Linked DNA regions of Mus musculus. The main gene of each other region encodes a partner of the protein of the gene in region 3 in a complex. Links are inferred from orthologs where the notes say so. Each region holds a gene or a part of one and is shown on either strand. Other genes may lie near its edges. The genes, in order: Prkab1, Prkab2 and Prkaa1.

Region 1 (3,647 bases), on a different chromosome or scaffold from region 3:
AACTAGATTCTAAAATGTCTAGCTGACCAAGGGGTGTGTAACAGATGTGAATCTTTCACAATGTCAGGGGAGGACCACAGCAGTCCCCAACAGTGGAAGGCACAGGAGTTCTCCACTGTCTTTTAAGAAGTGAGCAGAAAGGAGCTCCAGATGGGAGTACTCACAGAGATGCCCGTGTCCTTGTTCAAGATGACCTGCAGCAGGTGTGGCGGGAGGATGGGCGGGGCTTTGAACCTCTCTTCTGGTTTAGACATGTAAGGCTCCTGGTGGTAGGGTCCTGGGGGCGAGCTGGACAGCTCTGTTGGGAGATGTCGACAAGACACTCAGACTGTAGGCTCTGCAGCTGCATTTGATGCATGGGGCCCTCATCTAGCTTTCTGTCCTGATTTCCTCAATCCAGGTTTGTATTTTCTTCAAAGACATTCAAGCTCAAACAGGGAAAACCAGAGGGGATGAAAAGTGCCCTGGAACCGGGGTGCTCGGGATAAAGCTCGACGCTACCTCGAGAAGCTCAGTGGAAGGAAGAGCAGCTGTGGCAAAGCCTAACAGGGAAGCCATCCCCCATAGCCTGGCCTCTCGTCAGCACAGTAAGGCTTCCTTCTTACTGCAGGCTGAGTTTGGCAACTGCCACAAGTTCTGGGCTTCAAGTGGGGATTAAGTGGCCCAGCCTAAGTTACCAAGTCTCCCAGGCAGAATAAAAGAAGTCTAACGAGGTACTGATGCACTAAAAAATAACCATAAAGACCAACGTGTAAAGGATCTTTGGCTCTACACTCCTGGGTCTGAGTGTTTTCACTATGTAGGCGCAGTAGAAGCTTCTGGAAGCACAGTACCTTGCCTTAGAAGCACCTCGAATCATGACAGCTGGCTGGCTAGATAGAGGATGGCACTGAGCTGTCACCCGAGTGTCGGGAAGGGTTCTGGCTACCTGACCCCTAAGCTGGCCCAGGGCTGCTTTAACTTTCTCAACATCAATTTCTAGGTCAGGCTCCCTTCACACCTCAGCACAAGAACTGAGAAAAAGCACTCGATGCAGAAAGCTGAGCTGTAAGAAATAAATACATGGCATTTAAAAAAAAAAAAAACAAAAAACAAACCCAAACAAGCCACTTGAATGTCTAACAGGAAGTTTAGAGCTGATCTGGCTCCAGCAGCAGGGGGCGGTGCACTTTCTGCCTGCAAATGATCAACCAGACCTTTAGCTGAAGGCTCTGTTGAATAGTGTGAAGTTCGTGTCAGAAGCGTGTGCACTGCCTCCAGGCTGCACCCTTTGCCTGTCTGAAATGTGTAAGTGGTCATCCAGGAATGGCCGATAACCCCAGTAAGAGAGCACTGTTTTTAGATTTCTAAGCCTAGATCTGTAACCTTAACCACGGCCAGCCAAGCCCACCAGTCAATTACAGCTGTGGAGTCAGAAGTGCTAACTGTAAGAGATCCCAGAGACACGGAGGTGAGGGTGGGAAAGCCCTCGGTAAACTGATAGCTGGCTACTGCTGAGAGCTTATCTTACTGATTCCCAGAACTGCTGCCCAGGAAGCAGCCCACACACAAAGAAGGGAAGCACACCTAACGTCCATCTGGATTCTAACACACAGTTTCTCTCCTGAGCTGTCCCTCTGACCTTCCAGGGATTCTCTTCCTCCCAGATGTGGTCGGAACAAAGGTCACCGAAAGCTCCGTGCTTAGAGGACTCTAGTTTACCGTGACTGAGCACAACAGGTTTCCAGAAAAGAGCGTTGTGCCATGTGGCCTGTTTTCTATGGGGAGTCACTTCCAGTCAAGTGTGAATGGACGGCACCAGTGACAGCCAAGGTCACCGAGGTGGCGTTTATCACCTGTCAGCCTGCAATTCTCCAGGCACCACTGGCAGGACACGAGCTGGCAGTTTCCCTGGCAGTGGTTCACTACTGACCCAACGTGTCCTCGTGGGTCTCTTCAGGCCTGCCTATGGCATAACATCAAGTGTAGCTCTGTTCTAAAGCCAAGTGGAACTGCAAAATATCCCATAAGGCAAGGGCAGTGACTTATGGTTTCTTTGGGGGTTAAACTCCAACAGCCAGGGCCACTGGAATTAGGAAGGAACTGCTGTGGTCCGGAGAGCTACAACTGTCCACCTGGCTGGGCAGCTTTTGCTCAAGTGTGAGAGGCGAGGGAAACAGAGTATGTCCAGGCCACAGAGCCCCAGCCTGCACACACGTGGGATAAAGTAACTGTTCATACCAGACACATCGGAGCACTTTTGGGAATCCACCATTAAAGCATCAAATACTTCAAAGTCAGTTTTCTTCACTTGAATGATGTTGTTAACTGTGCCAAGCTGGCTGGTTACTATTGGCTGGGAAGAGACAGATAGGCAGAAATCATAACGTGGAAGGTCTGTGGATTCTTCAGAGGACTAGAATTCCTGGCTGGAAGGCCTCACTGCCTGGTTAGCGACTCTTGGTTAATTATACCAATGAGCTGGTAACTGGCGCTATCTAACTCAGAGCCACACGCAGGGAAGAGGGTCCTGATAGCACGCCACAAGGGAGGTGATGGGTGCTGGTTGTGCAGGTAGGTACTAGAGGGCCAAGGGCTGCAGGCAAAGTACCTCAGAAGGATCATGGGTCCACTGTCCATCCACGAAGAACTTGTACTGATGCTCTCCTTCAGGCAGGTCCAGGATGGCTACAAAGTTATTCTGGCTGCAGGAAGAAAGGAAGTAGAATTTCAGCTGGGTGGGCTGCCCTCTGACTCCAGGTATAACCAAGAGTTTGGCTGCAGGATGGCAAACATGGCAACCAATTCAGACAATTAATTCTTGGTCACGGCCACTAATGGAGCAGCAGGAAACTCACTTTGCTCAGACACTAGGAACCTAGAATCCTAACACTGGAAGGTCAACAAATGGCTGTTCATACCTTCCAAGTCTCCACGCAGAATACCACCGGGCGGGCAGGCGGGCTGGGTGCCACGGAGGTAAACATAGGCTGCCGAGCCATCCCTTTTGTCAGTGTGCCATGACAGGGACTGAGCCAGCGTAACAGGGCACATAGACGTTCTCCACACAGACCTGTCTAACTACCCCGCCACTCCTGAGATTGCTGTGGACTTGTAGCAGCCCTGGAAACACAGGGACACTGACAACAGTTGGGCTCAGACCAGCAGGGCACGGGCTCTCCCTCTGTTTACCAGAAGTAGTCACTGGTAAAGGCGCGATGACAGGAGTCCACACTAGGGTTTTTTTGTTTTGCTTTGTTTTTTTTGTTTTTTGTTTTTGTTTTTTTCGAGACAGGGTTTCTCTGTGTAGCCCTGGCTGTCCTGGAACTCACTTTGTAGACCAGGCTGGCCTCGAACTCAGAAATCCGCCTGCCTCTGCCTCCCGAGTGCTGGGATTAAAGGCGTGCGCCACCACTGCCCAGCCACATCAGGGTTTTGATAAATCGTCTCACTGAACCCTTGCTAATGATGTCTTCAGAGCATGGAACTTCCAACCTTCCAAAAAATAACACACAGGACTCAGTTAGAAGGGATCCAGGTCACCTGGTCCAGGAGTCCGATACAGAAGTGACCGTTCCATGCAGTAATGGGCTGGGATCCACACCCCTAAGGGTCCCAGCCCAGCGTTCTCTCCAATGCACCGGGAACAACTTTCTCAGAAGAAATGT
Region 2 (3,647 bases), on a different chromosome or scaffold from region 3:
TATAAAACAGGGGTTAAAAATAGTACATACCTCTCAATGTTACCAAAAGATAAAACTCAGTGAATTAAGATTTTATATACAACCACACACTCTATTAAAGTCAGCTCTATCAGAAGTAAGGCTAGATCTCTCTGCTCAGGCTGCACATCTAAGAAATACAAGCAGCTTATAGGGAAACTACTGGGAGTACCCTGGATGTGTGTATGCACAATCTCTGGGGATGAGAGCACTCAATCTGAAGGCTCACAACCTGAGGCTCAGCTTAGACAGTCACAGAACTACACTTCTAAGTCAACAGCCAAGCCACAAAGACATTAAAGCAATGGAGAAACTAAGGACTCTAGGGCAGGGGTGGGAAAGACAGGGAACCTCCAGTCACACGATTCCCTTCCTACTATGTAAGAGATGGGAGCACACCTGGGTATATACAACTAGGACAGGGCAAGGAGCTTGACGCCCCATTTTAAAAGGTAAAGTTTTATGTCTCATTCAAGTATTTGTTGAAGGAAGCTAAACCTGATTTCCTGCAGATGGACTCCAACCACTATGAACTCAAGCTTAAGGAAACAGATGAGACAAAGGGTCCAGCCACCCAAAGGAACTTAGAAGCAGAAAGACTCCATGACTGACAGCTCAGTCCCCGCACAGACCAGAGTCTGAGGTTTAAATCCAACGGCCTGCAAGTTAGGAAGAGACGGCCCATCTACCATCTGACCGTCAGGGCCAAGTGCAGCTTTAGAAGCAGCAGCGAGTGAGTTACCGCTGAAGAGCTGGAGGGACCCTTACCCTTCCACGGGGAGGCTGTGGAGGACCGGGGCCGCCACTTACCTTAATGGACAGTGCATAGAGATGGTTCAGCATAACATGATTGGGCTCAGGAAGTAAGGCTGGGTCACACTAGGAGAAAAGACACCCCCGGCGCCAAATGTGATTAAACACAGACAAAACAAACAGCTTACTCTTCCCCAGAGCTCTCTGGAATGTTGGGAACTCTAAATAGGAATACTTTGTCTCCCACAAGCCATGCATTCCCGGATGATAAGATCGAAAAATCCTCAGACTAGCACAGAAATGCTAAGCCCCAACATCCGCTAATTTTCTCTAAGAGAATTAAAACAAAAACCTTGCTTAGAAATGCAGATGGTTTGGTTAAAGGGAAAAAAAAAAATCTTCCAAGGAACTATCAACTAAGTGAAATCGTGGTTAAAAATATTTAATATAAAGTTGTGAACTTCTGGGTTTCCCCCAATGAGAGTACCCCTTATCTTGTATTGTAATAGAAGTCAGAACACATACCAACTCTAGCAGTTTGGTTTTGATTAAACTAGAAACAGACATCTATAAAGTTTGCAAATGGTACCTAAAGAAGTTATAGTTCAGTCTGGGAAAAAGGATTCCACCGTGCTGTGCTGATGTGCACACGGCCGACTGCCGTAATCATGACACAACTGTGACACAATTCCAGCCCGAGGTTACTAATTTTGGCCTTGATGGTCCTAAGGATCCCCACATGCTCTAGCAACCTGCTCAGGATACTCACTGAAATATTCGTGTCCTTGTTAAGAATAACTTGGAGTAGGTGAGGGGGCAGGATGGGTGGGGATTTGAATCTCTCCTCAGATCGAAACACATACATTTCTTGACCGTAAGGCCCAGGGGGTGAGCTGGACAGGTCTGAAAAATATTTATGCAAATGTGAAGAAACTTGAAGCATTAGTGAGGATGCGTGGGGGAGCTATGACTGCACAGTCGTTGATCTTAATGCAATACAAGTCCTGGAGCGTAAGAACTCGTGGCCTACTGCAGCTGGAGCTGTCAGGGTAAAAAAGAAACGTCTGAATCAACCTGAGCATGGACCAGGAAGCTTCTCAACGGGCAGCGTGACGTAAGGAAGAGATGAGAGGCCAGGGCCCAGGCTCCAGGCAACCACCACCAGCTGTCAGCCATGTGACCTTGGACAGATCCCCTTTTTTTGGTCAGTTTACTTATCCACAGATAAATGTCTTCTTCATTGACAATGCTTTTGAGGAGATAAAAATGAGAGTGGTTAAGATGATGTGTGGACAAAGTGTGAAGAGATTAGAGTTCATATTTTTTTCCCTGCCAAAGTGACAGACTGCAACGTTATACACTCTAGGTCCATAACGATTACAGCAGACAGAACACACGCAGCTGCAGTCAAGAGCATGCAGTGTAGTCAAGGACCACGCTCCGTACTCACTGGGATGGCTGTCTGTCTCTGAAACAGCAAAGACTGGAGGAAACGTGGAGAAACTCAAAGCCCCAAACTACGGTGTTCCCATTGTGGGCAGAAATGCACCATAGTATAAACACGTTGAAAAACAGTACAGCTGTCTTCAAATAGTTAAACAAACTTTGTAACCCGGTAATCACATTACTGAGCGTAACAACTCAGATAAAATATAAGCCCACGCAAGAACCTCACCGTAACTGTTTATAAGCAATATATATGAGAGCCCCAAAGAGGAAACAAAACCCAAATGTCTGTCAACAACGGATGGAGAAGCAAAAAGGAACTGTCATACCGTGGACTTCTGCTCAGCCACAAACAGAAGCAAAGTACTGATACATGTTTCAACAAGGCTGAGCCCTGGAAGGCAGCCTGCTACAGTGAAAGAAGCCACACAATGTGTGGTTATATTTATACCAACTGTCTGGAAAAGGCAAAGCTATACCGCAGAAGCTTTGACGGACACAGGACAAAGGAGAAAGGGATGGAGATAGTCCTTCTTTTGAGGTGACAATGGTTCTAAAACTCAATATACTAAGAAAAAAAAAAAAGATAAATTCATGGTATCTGGATTATACTTAAAAGTGAAAAGCATTCAGGTTAAATTTACAAAATTAAATGAACTATGTTTTTATTGTTTTAAAATTTTACATTTTATAGCTCCAGAGAAAACATTTTAGTAGTAGATTATTTTAATAACTCAGATTTGCTTCAATATATAAGTATATAAGGCAAAGCAATGCTCTGTTATTAAACAAAACTCAACAATAGACACAACAGGTAACTTTTCAAAATACTTTCAGGTGTTCTGCTCAGTATCCACAAAACACCACCGGCAAATAACACAGGGCAATTTTCACGCATTGTCCTTTATACTAACATATACAAGTTGGACGTTGAAAAGTCACACACATGGCCACACCCACTATCTGTACATTCCTAATAAACGCTCTATGCCTTACATCACTGGGCTAGGAAACCGCGTGCACCCAAAGTGTGCTGTCCTCCCGCTACTGTCACCTGCTCACTGGTTACTTGCAGATCAAAAGGTAATCAGGGATCTAGTGGCCTCAGAACTGAAACCTTTTAAGATCAGTGCACCCGCAGCCGGTAAGAACGCTCACGGTAACGTTAGTTCTGAGTTTATATACTAACTCTAAGTAGGTAGTTACTGTGCCATGGACTTCTTGTCCCTTGTCCTAGAGACTCTGTCATGGGCTCTGTATCAGTAATTATGACTGAGGTTCACTGAGGGTCCAAGCCCTCGAGTTTACTGCTGGGAGCTGGTGTGCGATGGCATGACTAGTAGCCAAGGCAGGCTCTGCAAACAAGAGACCTTGTTTCATTCTCTTTGCAAACAAGAGATCTGCTCAGTGGATAAGGTGTGCAGTTCTCT
Region 3 (3,647 bases):
CCACAAGAAAAGTGTGTCATTAATAAAATGAAATTTCAGCTGGGCGTGGTGGTGCATGCCTTTAATCCCAGCACTCGGGAGGCAGAGGCAGGCGGGTTTCTGAGTTCGAGGCCAGCCTGGTCTACAAAGTGAGCTCCAGGACAGCCAGGGCTATATAGAGAAACCCTGTCTCGAAAAAACCAAAAAAAAAAAATAAAAATAAAAATAAAAAATAAAATGAAATTTCTCTGGTATCTAGAGACTCGAAAAGGTAGAAAAATACATTGGTTTAAAAATCACCTAATATTGCTGTGCAATGGTAATACCACGCGCCTTTAATCCTAGCACTGCACTCGGGTGGCAGAGGGAGGCAGGGCCAGCCTTGTCTTTAGAGTGAGTTCCAGGATAGCCAAGACTACACAGTCCAGACAGACAGACAGACAGACAGACAGATGGTTTGTTGGCTGGTTGGTCAAGTAGGCAGATAAAGTGAGTTACCTGATATCTTTTATTGCGGCCCTCTTCATGGGATCCACCTGCAGCATATGTTTCAAAAGGCTGATTACTGAAGGGTTTAAGTACTGAGGGGTATAAAAGATCCCATCACATATCTTCTTAAAAAGAGTTGGCACATGGTCATCATCAAAAGGGAGGGTTCCACACAGCAAAGCATAGAGAATGACCCCGCTGCTCCAGATGTCCACCTCGGGGCCTGCGTACAATCTGCATAGAGAATGCTAACTGTATTAATCACAATATCAAAAAGCATCGGTCAACACTCTTCAAATACAAATACTTTATGAAAAATATAAGAAAATAATTTTTAAAGAAATCAGTGGTCAGAATATGGTATCTATAGTGGTTGTTGCACATCACACATAAAGATACTAGTCTTATCAGTATTACCTGTTTAAAAATAAGCTATTTTGTAACTTGTGATCCATGGGTCAAATTGTACTACCTTACTATGACCCTCAAACTTCCTACCAATAAGGTCAACCCTTGAGCCATCATGATCAATGTTGATTTGAGCCACAGGGATAGTTTTTTTTAAGTACCTTTTTTGTTCCCCCACCCTCACCTTTAAGTAACTTTTAGTGTGTGTGTGTGTGTGTGTGTGTGTGTGTGTGTGCACATGCATGTGCGTGTGTATGGTGTGCACATGCCACAGTGGGTGTGGAGCTGAGATGACAGCTCTGTGGAATCAGTTCTCTCCTACCTTTACCCAGGATTCAGGGGTCAGACTCTAGGCACTTGGCAGCAAATGTTTTACCAGCTGAGCCAACTCGCTGGGCCCATGATTCAAGTCTGTAGTGACAGACTCTGAACCCATTTCTCCTAAAACCCTCACATCACAGTTCAGGAAGCTGGAGCTGCAGAAGCAAGCCAAGGGCAGTGGAGCTCACAGAACACTCGCCCTCTTCGTGCGTGAGTGCGTCTACGTGAAGGAAGCACTGGAGACACGGATTCTAACTAGCTGCAAACCAGCTGAATCATCCGAGGCTGCCTTCAGGGGGAAAACGAACCCTCAGAGTGACGAGAGTGCTTCCTTCCTATAGACAGCAGTAAACACTGTTCTCAAAATGAGTGCTCCTATTCACACAGACCTCAAGGAAAGACATCCAAACTGTACATTTCCCCAAGAGCCCATTTTATGCATGCTTGAACATGACGCATGCCTTTTTTCTTTAGTTATATTCCCTGTAGCATCTAGATTTTGAATTTTTCTCAAATCAAAGGAATTAAGATAGAAAACACAAATGAATCTTTTTAATTCACTTCATTACCTTTTCTTTGAGCAGTCAAAAAAAAATAAGCACATGAACATAGAAAGCACAGGGATTTTTTTTTAAATTAGGTCCATCACCATTTGAAGCATTTAAACAAGGAAATGGTTGAGGTGGACGGGATTGTGGGCACTGGCGAGCAACAGGCCTCCCCTACCTCATTAGTGTTTCAGCAGCAATGAGGAAGCAATGTGTTTTTGTTTGCTTTGACTTTTACTTGTTTTTTATTTCTTTCTTTGCTTGCTTGTTTTTGCAAGAGCATTTTATTTATTCCCAAGCTGGCCCTGTCTCACTAAGGAGCCTGAGCTGGAGACAAACTGCTGTCTAACCTCCTGGGTAAGGTGCACCACCAAGCCTAGCCAAAGCGTTGATCTTAAAAATAAATTCTCTACGCCAGCAAGATTTTGCTGAAAGGACCCTGATATAGCTGTCTCTTGTGAGGCTATGCGGGTGCCTAGCAAACACAGAAGTGGATGCTCACAGTCAGCTATGGGATGGATCACAGGGCCCCCAATAGAGGAGCCAGTGAAAGTACCCAAGGAGCTGAAGGGGTGTGCAACCCTATAGGTGGAACAACATTATGAACTAACCAGTACCCCGGAGCTCGTGTTTCTAGCTGCATATGTATCAGAAGATGGCCTAGTCGGCCATCATTGGGAAGAGAGGCCCATTGGTCTTGCAAACTTTATATGCCCCAGTACAGGGGAACACCAGGGCCAAAAAGGGGGAGTGGGTGGGTAGGGGAGCAGGTTGGGGGAGGGTATTGGAGACTTTCGGGATATCATTTGAAATGTAAATGAAGTAAATACCTAATTTTAAAAAATGGAAAAAAATAATAAATTCTCTGAGCTGGAGGGATGTCTCAGCCATTGAGAACCTGCGCTGTTTTTATAGAGGTCCCTGGTTTAGTTCTCACCCCCCCCACACACACACACACACAAGGCAGCTTACAACTGCCCGTAGCAATAGCTGAAGGGTGAGGATTGGGGGGGTGGGGTTGGGGGGCTCTGACCTCTGTCAGCACCTACACTAATGTACACATACCCTCACACAAACACACATACATATATGGTTTAAAATAAAGTCTGTCTTTTAAATTAAATTTTACAACTTTAAGCAAATATCTTTTCCCAGACCACTACCCCACTTCCAAATTTAGGCGTGCCTTCTCTTTGTTAATGAACTGTCTCTATCACAGAGGAGGAAGAGGAGGAGGAGGGAGAGGAAGGAGAGGAGGAGGGAGAGGAAGGAGAGGAGGAGGGAGAGGAAGGAGAGGAGGAGGAGGAGGAACTTGAACCTTGAACAAAACAAGGAAATAAAACACAAATTAAATTTTGTTTTCACGCTATTTAAAAAGTAACTAATGAAAATACATCCGTCCTTTAGTGCTAGATAGTAGTTCAGAGTTCAGCAGTCTTACACTTCAATCTCTAGCAGATCTAGATCAAGACTGAACATAAATGAGTCTCTCTCCTTCCTTCTCCCTTTTTATAACCCTCTTGCCCCTCACCTCACCTCGATTTTCCTTGATACCAGGCCTATATAGCCCTGTCTTGGCATCCATGTGCGATACTCAGGCTATAGGCATGCAATACATTCAGCTGGTCTGTTTTTTTAAAGGACCACTTCTTTAGTTTCCTTCCTCATAAAACATGAAGCTACTACATGAATGCCAGCTATTTGAATACTTATACAACTACACGTGACGTTACACTTGTAACTCTGTTCTGCTCTCTGTGCGGTCTAGTTTGGTTTGGTTTTCTTGAGATGGTGTCATGAGAAGGTGTAGAATTACCAGCAAGGATTGCCCATCATGTTACATTTTTTAATGTTCGCCTAAGTAAAGCATTCCTCGGGAGTGAGTACTGCAGTAGGCAGGTT

The links.
Region 1: the proteins of Prkaa1 (region 3) and Prkab1 are in contact, whole or in part, in a crystal structure (PDB 6C9H), measured with the Homo sapiens proteins. The link is inferred for Mus musculus from reciprocal best matches to the Homo sapiens genes PRKAA1 and PRKAB1. Residues at the interface, in NP_006242.5 of Homo sapiens: Gly20, Val22, Lys23, Ile24, Thr32, Lys40, Lys42, Asn59, Arg60, Ile63, Arg64, Val69, Ile72, Arg73, Ile76, Gln77, Val93, Ser95, Thr96, Pro97, Ser98, Asp99, Ile100, Phe101, Met145, Met175, Ser176, Asp177, Gly178, Glu179; in NP_006244.2 of Homo sapiens: Pro79, Val81, Arg83, Leu103, Pro104, Thr106, Val113, Ile115, Asp159, Phe160, Glu161, Val162, Phe163, Ala165, Leu166, Met167, Val168, Asp169, Ser170, Gln171, Arg201, Ala202, Pro203, Pro204, Ile205, Leu206, Pro207, Pro208, His209, Leu210.
Region 2: the proteins of Prkaa1 (region 3) and Prkab2 are in contact, whole or in part, in a crystal structure (PDB 4RER), measured with the Homo sapiens proteins. The link is inferred for Mus musculus from reciprocal best matches to the Homo sapiens genes PRKAA1 and PRKAB2. Residues at the interface, in NP_006242.5 of Homo sapiens: Gly20, Val22, Lys40, Lys42, Asn59, Arg60, Gln61, Lys62, Val69, Arg73, Val93, Ile94, Ser95, Thr96, Pro97, Ser98, Asp99, Ile100, Met145, Met175, Ser176, Asp177, Gly178, Glu179, Phe180, Arg199, Leu200, Ala202, Pro204, Glu205; in NP_005390.1 of Homo sapiens: Val80, Arg82, Ser84, Ser108, His109, Asp111, Ile115, Ser138, Asp159, Phe160, Glu161, Val162, Ala165, Leu166, Ser182, Ser184, Gly190, Gln191, Glu192, Met193, Tyr194, Ala195, Phe196, Glu199, Arg201, Lys203, Ser204, Pro205, Pro206, Ile207.

Annotation. Positions count from the first base shown.
Region 1 is NC_000071.6:116,017,784-116,021,430, forward strand, and holds part of Prkab1 (5'-AMP-activated protein kinase subunit beta-1), read right to left. Parts: intron 2,685-3,647; coding exon 2,591-2,684; intron 2,336-2,590; coding exon 2,221-2,335; intron 299-2,220; coding exon 165-298; intron 1-164. UniProt on the Homo sapiens protein: Non-catalytic subunit of AMP-activated protein kinase (AMPK), an energy sensor protein kinase that plays a key role in regulating cellular energy metabolism.
Region 2 is NC_000069.6:97,664,609-97,668,255, reverse strand, and holds part of Prkab2 (5'-AMP-activated protein kinase subunit beta-2), read right to left. Parts: intron 1,675-3,647; coding exon 1,541-1,674; intron 898-1,540; coding exon 829-897; intron 1-828. UniProt on the Homo sapiens protein: Non-catalytic subunit of AMP-activated protein kinase (AMPK), an energy sensor protein kinase that plays a key role in regulating cellular energy metabolism.
Region 3 is NC_000081.6:5,171,263-5,174,909, reverse strand, and holds part of Prkaa1 (5'-AMP-activated protein kinase catalytic subunit alpha-1), read right to left. Parts: intron 703-3,647; coding exon 478-702; intron 1-477. UniProt on the Homo sapiens protein: Catalytic subunit of AMP-activated protein kinase (AMPK), an energy sensor protein kinase that plays a key role in regulating cellular energy metabolism.